Linked DNA regions of Xenopus tropicalis. The protein of the gene in region 2 interacts with the protein of the main gene of each other region in a biochemical or structural test. Links are inferred from orthologs where the notes say so. Each region holds a gene or a part of one and is shown on either strand. Other genes may lie near its edges.

Evidence for each region. The genes of interacting proteins can lie anywhere in the genome.
Region 1: the proteins of gabbr2 (region 2) and kctd12 form a complex in vitro, tested with the Homo sapiens proteins (2 studies listed by BioGRID). The link is inferred for Xenopus tropicalis from reciprocal best matches to the Homo sapiens genes GABBR2 and KCTD12.

Annotation. Positions count from the first base shown.
Region 1 is NC_030678.2:126,319,369-126,325,479, reverse strand, and holds kctd12 (BTB/POZ domain-containing protein KCTD12), read right to left. Parts: upstream 4,135-6,111; 5' UTR 3,944-4,134; coding exon 2,969-3,943; 3' UTR 764-2,968; downstream 1-763. UniProt on the Homo sapiens protein: Auxiliary subunit of GABA-B receptors that determine the pharmacology and kinetics of the receptor response. Increases agonist potency and markedly alter the G-protein signaling of the receptors by accelerating onset and promoting desensitization.
Region 2 is NC_030682.2:77,689,574-77,695,904, reverse strand, and holds the start of gabbr2 (gamma-aminobutyric acid type B receptor subunit 2), read left to right. Parts: upstream 1-2,325; 5' UTR 2,326-2,631; coding exon 2,632-3,027; intron 3,028-6,331. UniProt on the Homo sapiens protein: Component of a heterodimeric G-protein coupled receptor for GABA, formed by GABBR1 and GABBR2. Within the heterodimeric GABA receptor, only GABBR1 seems to bind agonists, while GABBR2 mediates coupling to G proteins.

The DNA of each region.
Region 1 (6,111 bases), on a different chromosome or scaffold from region 2:
CATGAAGAGTTTAGATTATGTCTTGTCGATATAATTAAAGAACATCACGGTCGATTGGTATGCACGAGAAGAGTTACGTAGTACAGCATTCTACCACTGACTGCTTTGGATATGGTACATTAGACCACATAAAGCCGGAAGCTTCTAAAGAACGTTATTGATATATTTCAGTGTTTATATTTTGCACATCATATTTTTTTTAGCTATATAGTCTAGTCTTCAGGATGCTAATAATAACAAAACTGGTTTTTGTTAGATGTTATATTATATACATGTACATGTAGAGTGGAGGTCTCTACAGTACAAAGGTCTCTACAGTACAAAGGATGGGTTAAATTCATAACCCCTGATAATGGCTAGTTCCATTTCCATTCTGGGCGTATTGCAATCAATAGAACCAGATAATTACATTACGGAACAGGAATCTTCAACCTGCAGCTCTCTATCTTCTATTGTCCAGCTCACAGAATTCCCCAACATGTTGAAGATCCATGTTATAATAAAACAATGAAAAATAATTATATTAGCTAGGTTGTCCATTCCAATACTACACACACCCGGAGTCCATAAGCTAGCAGTGAACAGACTAAGCAAAGTGTTGCACTATAGTTGATAATAACATTCTTATATAAATGAAACAAATGCAGAGACATACAAAACATTATACTGAAGCAGGAAACAATGGCAACAGCCATCATAAGGTCTGACAATCAATAAGTTAAAGCAATGGGTAAACATAACTTATGATTTCCAAGTTTGGTTGTTTTTTTAAGGATAAGTTTAATGAAATGGCTGCAGAATATGATATACATTGTATATAGTGCAAACATATAAATGCAACAGTTCTATTATCATGAAATCCTCACCCTCTTCCAAAAGAACACATTGCTTAGTGTACAAAGGCTACAAAAACAACTGGTTAAGTTTTGTTTATCTGGACTTCTGTTGCTGAAGATGTTTGCTATTTTCTTATTGCTTCTATGAACAGTTTAATATGATAGAAAAAAGAAAATAAAAATATTTTTTGCTGTCTTCAGATTCAGATTCTTGTGAGAAGAAAAGAGAGATCACATAACAACAACAATAACATAAAACAAGGTTATATAGGATGATAAAAAGACATCAGCTTTTCAATGCAGTTACCTCAACTAATAAAGTATAGGGTGGACAACATGTCTGAGGCAAACATATCTGGACAGAGTACTCTTTTATTGCAAGAAAAATAGACTTTCATTATCTCCATGCTAAAGCAGTCTTTGGTAAAGCCACAATTGCCTGAATTGTCTTAATCATTAAAAAAGGGGTTTTAGCTCTCTTTATTTAATGTTTATGTGCCAGGAAATATAGGATACTGGTGAATGATGACAATGAATGTTTACAAACTCTATTTGTTTTCAGACAACACAGACTATTGATTATTTCAGTGCTTATGACAAAGTGTAACCAAGGCCTGGCTTTAGGCATTAAACTAGAGATACAGCTTGTACGTTACAGATGTCATGTGAGCATTAGAGATGTTAACTGTGCTGCTCCTGGGCATACATTCTACTCAAACAGTAGGTCATTTCAGTTAAGGTCAAATAAATACACATTTAAAGAAAATCAATCTTCTGTCTAATGCTATTAATATTTCCCACATCTCTTATTAATTGTGACTAGTCTCCTGTCATACTGTATGAAAAGAGTATTGTAAATCAGGAGAAGTCACACACACACTATATGGCAATATATTGTGACAGGACAACATTGGCTTCCTGCTGTTACCAGGTTCCCTTAGGACCTTAACCATGGCAAAGCTAATGCAAAAAAATAGCATTTTGTTCATCAGAGAGAAATATCTAGTTTGGTATATTTCACCATATTATCATAGTGCTATTTGTTTTTGGGGGGTTTATGCAAATAGTATTGCTGGATGGTGTTCTCCACAATTTCCCTTACCCTTTTTAATTATGTTCTAATTACTTTCAGATGAATAGAGCATAAAAAATGCAGTAGAAGAGGAAATATGTTATTATCTATTATTGAAACAGGAGCCAGCTCTAACCAGCTCCACATTATACACTCGGCATGATACACATCAAGCCTATTTACAGCACTTCCAATGAACTCTGTGGTTGCACAGTTCTCATCTGTGGGGCTCTCAAAAATATGCTGATGTATGAATTCATCATAATGAACCACAACCAAAACATTAAAATGAAAGGAAGGCAGTGTCTTGCCAAACAGAAGCCGTAAAAATGTTTTTGTTCTTTAGGAAGAATAAAAAGCTTGAATTAAGATTTAATTAATTTCCTTTCTGTAAGAAGCAGAAACCACTGTTAAAATGACCATATAACATAAAGATCATCTTGCTAGCTGATTTGCCTTGAATAGTATCAAATAAAAAGTACATTTTAAAAGAGACTGAGCATAACAGGGGATACAAAGATAACCTGAAATGTTCTTTTACCCTTCTCATTTTAATTTGTACCTACAGTAAAGTATATATATTTATGCTTGAGGGTATATTGGTAAAGAAATATGTGTTTCTGCATATCAGTCAAAAACATTTTAAATGATGTTAAGCAGTAGCATTTTTTGTATACTTCCCATAACTGAAAAATAATCTGATCACATGGGTTATTTGGCGTCGAATGCACAGTCCATTACTAAAAGGAAGTTGGTAAAAGCTGTTTAGTAGCAGGTAAACAACATTAATAAAGGAATGGCAAAGTTCTATAGCAGGGGTGGTATAACACAGAGTATTAGAAACATACCTAAGCCAGAGCTGTTGCAATCTGTTGCATTATACAGTTACCAAATGTTCTCTCTGTTCATAAGAAACCTACATGTAGGAATTAAAAATGACAATATTGCAGTTCACTTTTGCTGTTGTCTTTATATGAGGAAGAAATACCTTCTTTTTGGGATCAGGAGATTAAATAGGTGTGACACTTTTTCTTTCCATTTCTCAGTCTATGACAATGTTTTAGTCCCTGCAGAAGACATACTCGGTGTAGCTTGTCCAGACTTTATCCTCACTCTGGTCATTGCTGGCAAAGGCACATGTTCCAGTGGAACTACATGCCACCATGTGGAAGCCAGCTTCAGACAGCTTGTCAAAGGCTTGTTCCAGGAAGTTGAACTTGAGGTAATACCTGGAAGTGTACCTCTCAGGTGGCCTATCAGGATCTCGACTCTCATTTAATGTCTCTCCAAAAACTTCCTTGGCCAAGGAAGTTTTGCCACAGACTGTGATGCGAGCTACCCTCCGAAACTTGGCATCTGCTTGAGCCTCCCGTCCTATAGTATAAGACCCCCTATAGCCAACTGTTATGTACCCATTTCTTCTTCCTTCCAAAGACTGAGAAGGTGTGAGGCGTGGAACTGAGGCTGGGCTGCAGGACGAGGAGGCATTGAATCGATATGGATCTAATGTTGGGGATGGAACCCCAGCTGCTGGAGATGTTGAGGCAGGGATAACAGCTGTGTCTGAGTCAGGATCGTGTATAGCTGCAGGGGTTAGAAGTAAAGGTGGTTCTTCACCCCCAATAGAGCTCTCTTTACTGACTCGCAGAGGATTTAAACGCTTCACCAGTTCAGGTAGCTGAAAGTGCTCTGCTTCTCTCTGTAAACGGCTTCTCTCAGGAAAGTAGTCAGGTAGGACCAGCTGCAGGTCTCGTAGGTAATCCAGCACATAACGAAATAAGAAACCATCCCGGTCTAAGAAAAAACGGCCTTTACTGTCCCGGGCCAGTTCTCCTGGTTTCTGCTGAGAAAACATTCGCCATAGCAGGGAATCAGGTACTGATACAAGAGTAGTGTGACGGGTCACATAAACTTGTCCCCCAACATTTAGTTCCACAATCTCTGGGAACAGAGGATCAGAAGTTTTGTTTTCTGTACAACCTCCACCGCCACCTCCACCATTTGGTAATCCACGTGCAGTATCAGGTAAAGCCATGAAGACTAGGAGAAGGAAAATATTAATATACCCCTTCTAAAACAAAAAAAATGAAAAGGGTAAAAACACTTGGAAAAAAAAGAAGCATAAAAACCTGTTCTCGAGCAAAGCACAGTTTCAGCTAGGGCTGTGCATGTGCAGCCAAGATACACAGAAGAGCCGACTAGTCTGCTTCCTTCCTCCGCTTCTCCTTGTGTTTCTGATTGAGAGAGATGGCAGGGTCTGTGTTTTTATGTGGAAATGTACACTAGAGGCGTGGGAGGGAGGAGGGGAACGAAGAGAGAAAGCCCAGAGACAGCTGATCACATACACATACAAAAAGGGGATGTGTGCAGTACTGTATTTGCAAGCTTTGCAGCTGGATCCCTGCTGTTATCCACTCAAATAAAACCTGCACAGCTCTGCAACTTGCTTCTTCCTTCTCATAAACAGTTATTATTTCAAGGCATAAAAAGTAACATTAGCATTCATTCAGTCAAGTAGTCAGCAGCTTCCACTCATCTATCTTAATGCACAGTCTTGTAAGAATATGTTTGCTGGAAAGGGTAATTATAACATGTGAGACTGACATTCATGGAATAAAGGCACAGTCCAAGTCTCTAAAGAGCTCTATAGTATATCTGATACCTTCCTTTGTATAGCAGGCACAAAAAATACATTGCCAACAAATATGACACACACATTAAGTAGCAGCAGAAAAAGAATAGTATAGAAATATAGTTTTAAAAAGAATTGTTCCGATAGCTAAGTGATAAAAGCTGAACCTCATCTTATTTAGTTATATATTAAGTCAGCAGTAAGTAAATCCTTTAAGGTTTATGACTGCATTCTTATCTACAAATAATAGGGTTTATGCAGCATGGCTGAATACAGAATATACTGAGCACTGCCCATAACAGCTGTAAAAAGATGTTAATAAAAGATAGCTGACTATATATATATATATTGTATATATATATGCATTATGTTAGCATTACAGTCTAAAATGTCCATATTAGTATGAGAACACATTATTTTTCTTTTTCTCTTATTTTGTTCTTCCAAAAAAAAAAAGTAAAATATGCTATAATATCATCATAACATACATTATTTGTGTATGTCTTTTCATTCAGATACATAGGGTAAAAGGGTAACTTTTTCAGGTAAAGAGGAATTTACAGGCTAAGGTTTTGTCACATTCTCATACACACACTATGGCCAGTGTTGGACTGAAGTGGCAGGGGCCCACCATAAAACCCTGGACCGTGGGCCCACTCTCAGAACTTTTATTCTTCCTCTCCTCCCTCAAACTCTTTATTATCCTACTCTTTTTTCTCTACATACTATACTCTATTCTTCCATCTTGCAAGCTTCCTTGTCACCATACAGAAATAAGGAATGACTATGAAATAGGCTAAATAGTTAGAAGCAAAAGGGCTCACTGATACCTGGGCCCACTGGGAGTTTTCCTGGTATCCTGGTGGGCCAGTCCAACACTGACTATGGCCAATATTATGGCCAATATTAACTAGAATACCCAGAAGAAACTGATACAAGCATGGGAAGAACTTGCAAACTTCGTGTATATAGAGGAATATTTATCAAATAAATCAAACAACTCTCTGTTCACTTGTATAGGTTGTTAGGGCATATCTGTAAATTCTCACTTCCACCCATTGAGAAATATGCCCCTACTAACCTGACCATACAAGCAAATAGAGATCTGTGAAACTTCCCTCTGGCACCTGTGGCAACCTCTGTTTTCCCCTATTAATAAAAAGTTCCAGTGTTACCTGGTAGGAAGTGAAATGTAGAACCTGCAAACCAGCAATGCTAACCACTGATATTATATGATATTAAACTTTTCAAATAACTTGTTTAACCGCTGTTTTATATACTTCCGAATTATGGTTTGGTTTATAATTACATTTATTTATAAATATTTCTGATTCCATATTATTATTATTTTTTTTTTTAAAGGCTTTATTTTTTCATTTTCAGTAAATAGATACCCCAAGGATGGGGCAGAGGGGAGAGGGATGGGGGGATAAAGGGAGAAACTACCAGTAATGAAGTCTCTTGTAGAATAAAGTTCAAGTTATTTGCAGTTGGAGTACTCATCAGCGGTAGTTTCCTGGCAGGAAGTCCATGCGTCCTATATTTTATTACATTTGGTGGGGCAGCCTCGG
Region 2 (6,331 bases):
CACTCCAGGACATGCAGCTTTTTGCTCCTAAACCAGTTGATTGTTAATTTGGTCTTGTGTTTAGGATCATTGTCCTGCTGAAGCAGGCCTGGATTTGTGGAAAGGCCACAAAGGCCTAGGGCGGCACAAATTTGGGGCCACACCAAAATGTTACATTTTATCCCTAGTACAGGCAATGGGGACCTCTCCGTCACTGCTCCGTATCAGAGTGTAAAGTCCTGCACATGCGCGATCGCGAGTTCGGAGGGGGGGGGGTGCGCGCCTATCGTGCGTTTGCTCATGCACGGGGGGAGGGGGCGCTGTGCTGAGGGATATACATTTCAGTGCAATCTGGCGCTGTGCTGAAGGATATACATTTGTCCAACCTTCAGTTTTTTACTAGACTAAACTATGTTCTCTTGCTGTATTCTATTGTGCTTTGCACCATTCTTCCTTATTTGACATGGTGGCTATCCCTTGCTAATGTATTAGAGTTACATGAAACATATTGCATTGAACTTTGGCAAAAAGTTATATCCTGGCCTCATCTCACCACAAATGCCTTTCCTACATTGCAGCTGGGTAACTCTCATTCCTTTTGGCAAGAGATTTACTTTCACATTGTTGTTTGGATCAGTGGCTTGTTTATGCCACAGGCCAGTTTTATGCAGCGCTATTGATATAATTAGCCAAGCTTTACAGTAAAGTTTGGTAGTTAGTTGAATCATGCTATGTGGCTGTATTTCATCAAAAATCTCAAACACCATGCCAAAATAACATAGGAGTGGCTTAATAACAAAAAGGCAACCATCCTACATTGTCCCAGTCAAAGCACTGATCAAACAAAAATATCTGTGACATTCTTTAAAATTAAAGTTGCATAAATGTCATTAGACTAACCCTACCCTACCCTGGAGCAAATCTGCCTAGTAGAATGTACCACAGTTATTACAGAAAAATTGTCAAACTGGTATCTACTTAACCCAAGAAACTAGTATTGATACAAATTATTGAAGTGTGGGGATTGAGGTTTTAAGTAGTGCAAAATTCTAAATTTGAAGAAGCAGGAAATCTAGCTTTTTGTTACACATAAATTATACATTTTATGAAACATGTATTATGTTAGACAGCACAGGAAAGAATTTGTAGAAGTTCAAGCCATAAAAAGGCTATTTTTGTAAGCCATAATCTATGTCACTGCAGCCTATGCAGTGAAAACAAGAATGCTCCCAGGTCCAGCAAGGCTACATATTGAAAGGCCAATACTTTACCCCAAAGTAAAGGTAGGGCATGAGAAGCAAAAATAGCACAAGCTCATAAAAAAAGAAAATTAATTAGTCTGAAGACACATGGAGCTACTAGTAGCAGCTACTTTTTCATTGCTACTAAACCCCAGCAAATACCCTGCCCAAGACAATACTGAGAATTGCCTCTGCTAAAACACACATTGCGACAATTATCAGTAAATAATCAGCATTGTCTATTTTAGTAGCCACCACAAGTAGCTGTTACTAGTAGCTCCATGTGTCTTCACCCTATGTCCAGTAGCTGTCTCCTGCACATACCTACTGGCAGCAGCTGGAAGGAAGTACACATTTACTAAACTTTCAAAGGAACCGAAAAGGAGGAATATAAAGCTAAAAACAGAACATATGATTGTTGACAAAACTATGACAAATACAGTACCAACCAAGCAGTACAATAGGCAACCCCAAATAAATGTATATATTCCTGGTAGTTGTTGTTCTCCATCTATGAGCCCTGTGCCTAAACCATTTGATGTTTCAATGTGAGCACAAGGTGCTGCGCCCAGCTTTCAAGACTTCGATGTGACGGCCAATCCCAGCCACTGTACAGGCGCCAGGAAACATATATTCGAGCAATTCTCTTCTCATCCCTCTGTGAAGCAATCGCACACCGCTCAAAGCTTTAGACGCAAACGTCTGTAGAGCAGCAATGCGGTATTTCTTCCTGCGTCTGTCACCGCTGGAGATTCCGCAGCGCCCAGAGATCTTTCTCTTCAGATCTTAGAACGGTTGGCGTCTGTCTGGTCCCTGGGGAAGTGCTTGGCTAAGGTGCAGACACAGTAGGCTAAATCTGCAACACTTTGCTTCTACAAGAGACGACTGCACAGCGCTGATCAGATGTAGAAGTGCAATGAAGGAGCTCCCTCTCTGGTGCTAAACACCTCTCTGCTCATGCCCATGATTCTAGCACCGGTGGTGGCGGGGTTACAATTGGGAACTCTGGAGGAGGAGGCGCCATCGACAGAAGGATTGTCAGGGGTGTGTGTGTGTGTTTAGAAGGGAGGGGGTAGAAGACCCTTATCCTCGAAGGAAAACAAATAGGAAAGAGAGGAAGAGGTCTCCTGGAAGCCTACACTTTGGATACCTGCTATGATTTGCCCTCGGTTTATCGTTTTGCTTTTTATTCTTTTGCACCCTGCCTACACCAGATCTAAATGATAGAGAAAAACACTGCGCCCTTTAGCATTACCGAAGAAGGGACTGGGGGCGTCCGTGCCCCCTCCTTGCCTTTGAGCGTGTGCTGTGTATGTGCTGCCTCCGTGCTGTGATGCCCGCTTTCCGCCTGTGAGATGAGAGCGGAGTGAGGCGGCCCCTCTCCTGGTACCTTGCAGTCACACACACAGCTATGGCTCCGTCCCCGAGGAGGCGCTGGAACTCGCCGTGCGCTCTCCCTGGTGCTGAAACCCCACAAGCTGCTGGCGCTGGTGGTGCTGAATCCGCCACCGGCGTCTCACCTAAACCTGCCATTCAGATGCCAATGCTGCCTCCGCAATGCCTGCTGCTGGTATTGGGTTTGGGATTGGGACCTGGTTTCGTGTATGGATCAAGGGGCACGACAATCGAACAGCCTGCCAATGGCACTTCGCTATCCATCATGGGCTTGATGCCCCTCAACGAGACTGTGGCAAAGGGGAATATCGGCAGAGGCGTCCTGCCCGCAGTGCAACTGGCTATCGATCAGATCCGCAATATATCCCTCCTGCACCCTTACTTCTTGGACCTAAAGCTTTATGATACAGCGGTAAGAACCCATACTAATGCACCTTCAAATGTTTATCGTAATATTGGCTACCTTAGCAGCCTAGATGTACTCTGTATACCTAAAATAGCTTTAATCTGTGTGGTAGTCAGGCATACCTAGTGATAGTGAAAGAGTTAACTATATCACCCATTGCTGCTATATTGGCTGTAAAGGCATGCACCTCCTGCAACTGATTTTGGAGCAGTTACACCAGTTACCTGAGCAGAGAGTGATGATGTGTGGAAATGTATGTTATATATGTTTGCACAACAAATATCAACATGCTTTCTCCATAGCATATGAAAAAGTGGGTGTCAGCGCAGGGATGAGGAGAATGCAGAGTTGCCGCACGGCTCCTCCATGATGCTGCATAGGTGCATGATTACCTCCCTGCTATGTTTTTACTGTGACTATACATACATATATGCATATATGGATCTTATTTTCAATAAAATGTTATCCAAACCTCTCCTTCATCACATAAGCTGTATTTACCTTATTGACTCATACGTGTACTTTGATTTTTGGAATTTCATTTCAAGTCCATCCCTCCCCCTCAGTCGATTTAGCAACAGATGCACATCATATTTAGAATTTTTTGCAAACAACGTTAAGTATGTACTGTAAATGAAAAATAAATGGGAAATGCTGGGATATAATTGGGTATGAGATGAAATGCTGAGGCTGATAATGGTTCTTGCTGTCCTTTGCAGCCTATTTAATGCGCACAAGGAACTATGTCCTTTTAGCTGTATTTAGCAGTTGAATACTAATCAGTATTGCCTAGACTACCACAGTTATCTCTTACAGTAACTGACATTTCTTGAGTAAATGGCCATTTCCATTGTTACCTTTAGGTGAGTACAGTAGGGCTAGTTGGGGAATCCTTATTTATTCTAAAATGGGTAATGTTATTTATTTATGATTTGATACAAGACATACAATACAAAACTATAAAACACTTAACATATATGTTTTGCACCAAAGCAAACTGTACAGTCCAATGATTTTCCAAAATATACAAGTAACAGTGTGCCTTAGGACTGTTCCATCATGTAATTAACAGTATTTAATTTAAGCAATAATCACTTACATTGCTTTATTACAAATAGATGTGGCTCTCTTTGTTATTATCTATTATAACATAAGTGCTGGAAACTGAACACAGTTAGTACAGCAATTAATTCCTTGCGCCCCCACCCCCTTTTTTTCCAACAGAATTTAGTCACAGTAGTAGTCAATATTTTTTAGCACTCTGCTGTAGACTGAGCAAATGCCTGAAGATGGCAGTCATTTCTTGTTGAGCAGCTCAGGCCATTTCCAAGGCAACCCTTGGAACAAAGCAGTTTGGAGCTGTTCAGCTACATCTACCCCCATGCAATTAGCAATACATACATTTCCAGGTACCTGAACCTGCCAGAAACATGGCTGAGTCATGTAGTTAAAATAGCTGCAAAATAAATACTAATTATAAAAATAATAATTATAATGGCCACAAAATGATGTATAGCATAATTAATTCATAAATCATTTTTACATTTTTTGGTACTGCTGTCCATAGAGTTTTTATTCTTTGTTTTCATATGTGGCAAGCAGGTATCCCTTCTGTTGATCCTGTCAGATTTTTATGCACATTTTTAAAAAATTTGTCATTCAGATATACAGCTGTTCATTGCCATAGATAGAATGATGCACACAATTTGTGTACAGTCACCCATTTTAAACAGCATGCCACTTGCCCAGTAAGTGTGGAGGTTATATGTTATGTTATAAGTAGATGTTTTTAAAGCCTTTCACAATGTAAAGCCCTCCTCACTTTGGGCTGTATATATATATATATATATATAATGTGCTTTTTTTTGCATTAGCGGCCTGGCAATTATGTGGGGTGTATTCTATATATGCACATATACATTATATCATCTGCAACTATACCAAAATATTTAGATTTGGGTAAAACAACTTTACAATAATAACAATATAACACTTACATGAACAATTAGCTTTTATTAGATATTAAACAGTGTCAAATTCATTTTATTTTTCAGTTGGTAGGCTTTTTACTTTCTAATTATCTAATAATATCTAAAATATTCAAAATACCCTTATTATCCTTACTCATTAAAGCTCTTGCTTTCTTTTCACATACATATAAAAAAAAATCAAGAAAGTCCATTAGCTGCCAATGATTAATTTCTATTTGTATAATATTAGATTTAATAAAGGGGCTTTTTGTGATCCATGTTGTGCCATAGGGGTCTTAAAAGTAGAAATAACATTTTTTGTTAAATCAGAATGTTTTCTTACTTTTCATCTCCAAATTTAGTAATAATAGTTGTATGTATTAGATACATAGTGCCTAATTCGGTAAGAATCAGTGTTTTTATTTTTAAATAACAATATTATTGGCCCCTAAATAATGAAATTCCACCAGTCAGTATAAATAATGTATTAAGTCAGTGATGCCATGTTTTATTTTAAGCTGTATTCATGCCTGTAATCATTTTTAATACAGATACAATCTAAAATTACCCATGTATACAGTGCATTATGGAAAACAATGCATTGTTGCTACATAAAATCCTCCATGATGATGGAAATCCATTGAAAGTGTCAGAGGAGCCCTATAAGCTTCTGTCTGTAGTCTCTTCAGACTATTAAACTGACCAGATACATCCGTGGACATCAGTTGACTCATGCTGCCCTAACTACTTTCATTTTAATTTTACTGATTTTTATGTCATGTGACCAGTGGTAGAAAATATTAGGGGCCTTGGGCTATAATCAGGGGTTTAGAGCAAGCCATAAGGTTACTGACCATAATTCTTGATTTGTCATGTATGGGGCAAATAGAGCAGCTTTGGTTCATTCAACCAGGTTTCTTGGTTATTATGTGTGGCCAGTGGAAGCTAAGACACAGAGATATGGTGAATAATTAAGAAAATCTGCCAAAAGCATAACATGCAATTATATAAAAGGTTACATTAACCAATTTTTTTAATCTGGGGTGGTAAAGATTTGGGCCAACAAGTTCCTACGTGGAATACTGAATAGGGTTTTAGCTCCTCGTAACATTCCACAGATGTACATGTATTCAAGAAGAACCTTCAGTCACAAGAGGAGCATGACAGTGGTACATATTGATTGCGAAAACAGCTTTAATATTTAAACATGCGTGTTGCCTCTTTTAGTTTCTCAGTAGTTTCAAAACAATTGATATATCACATCTTTAGATGCCATGTCATTTCCTGCTGTCTCTTCTTGAAAATCGTTCATACATATCTTTTTCAGTTCCTGTTTCCAG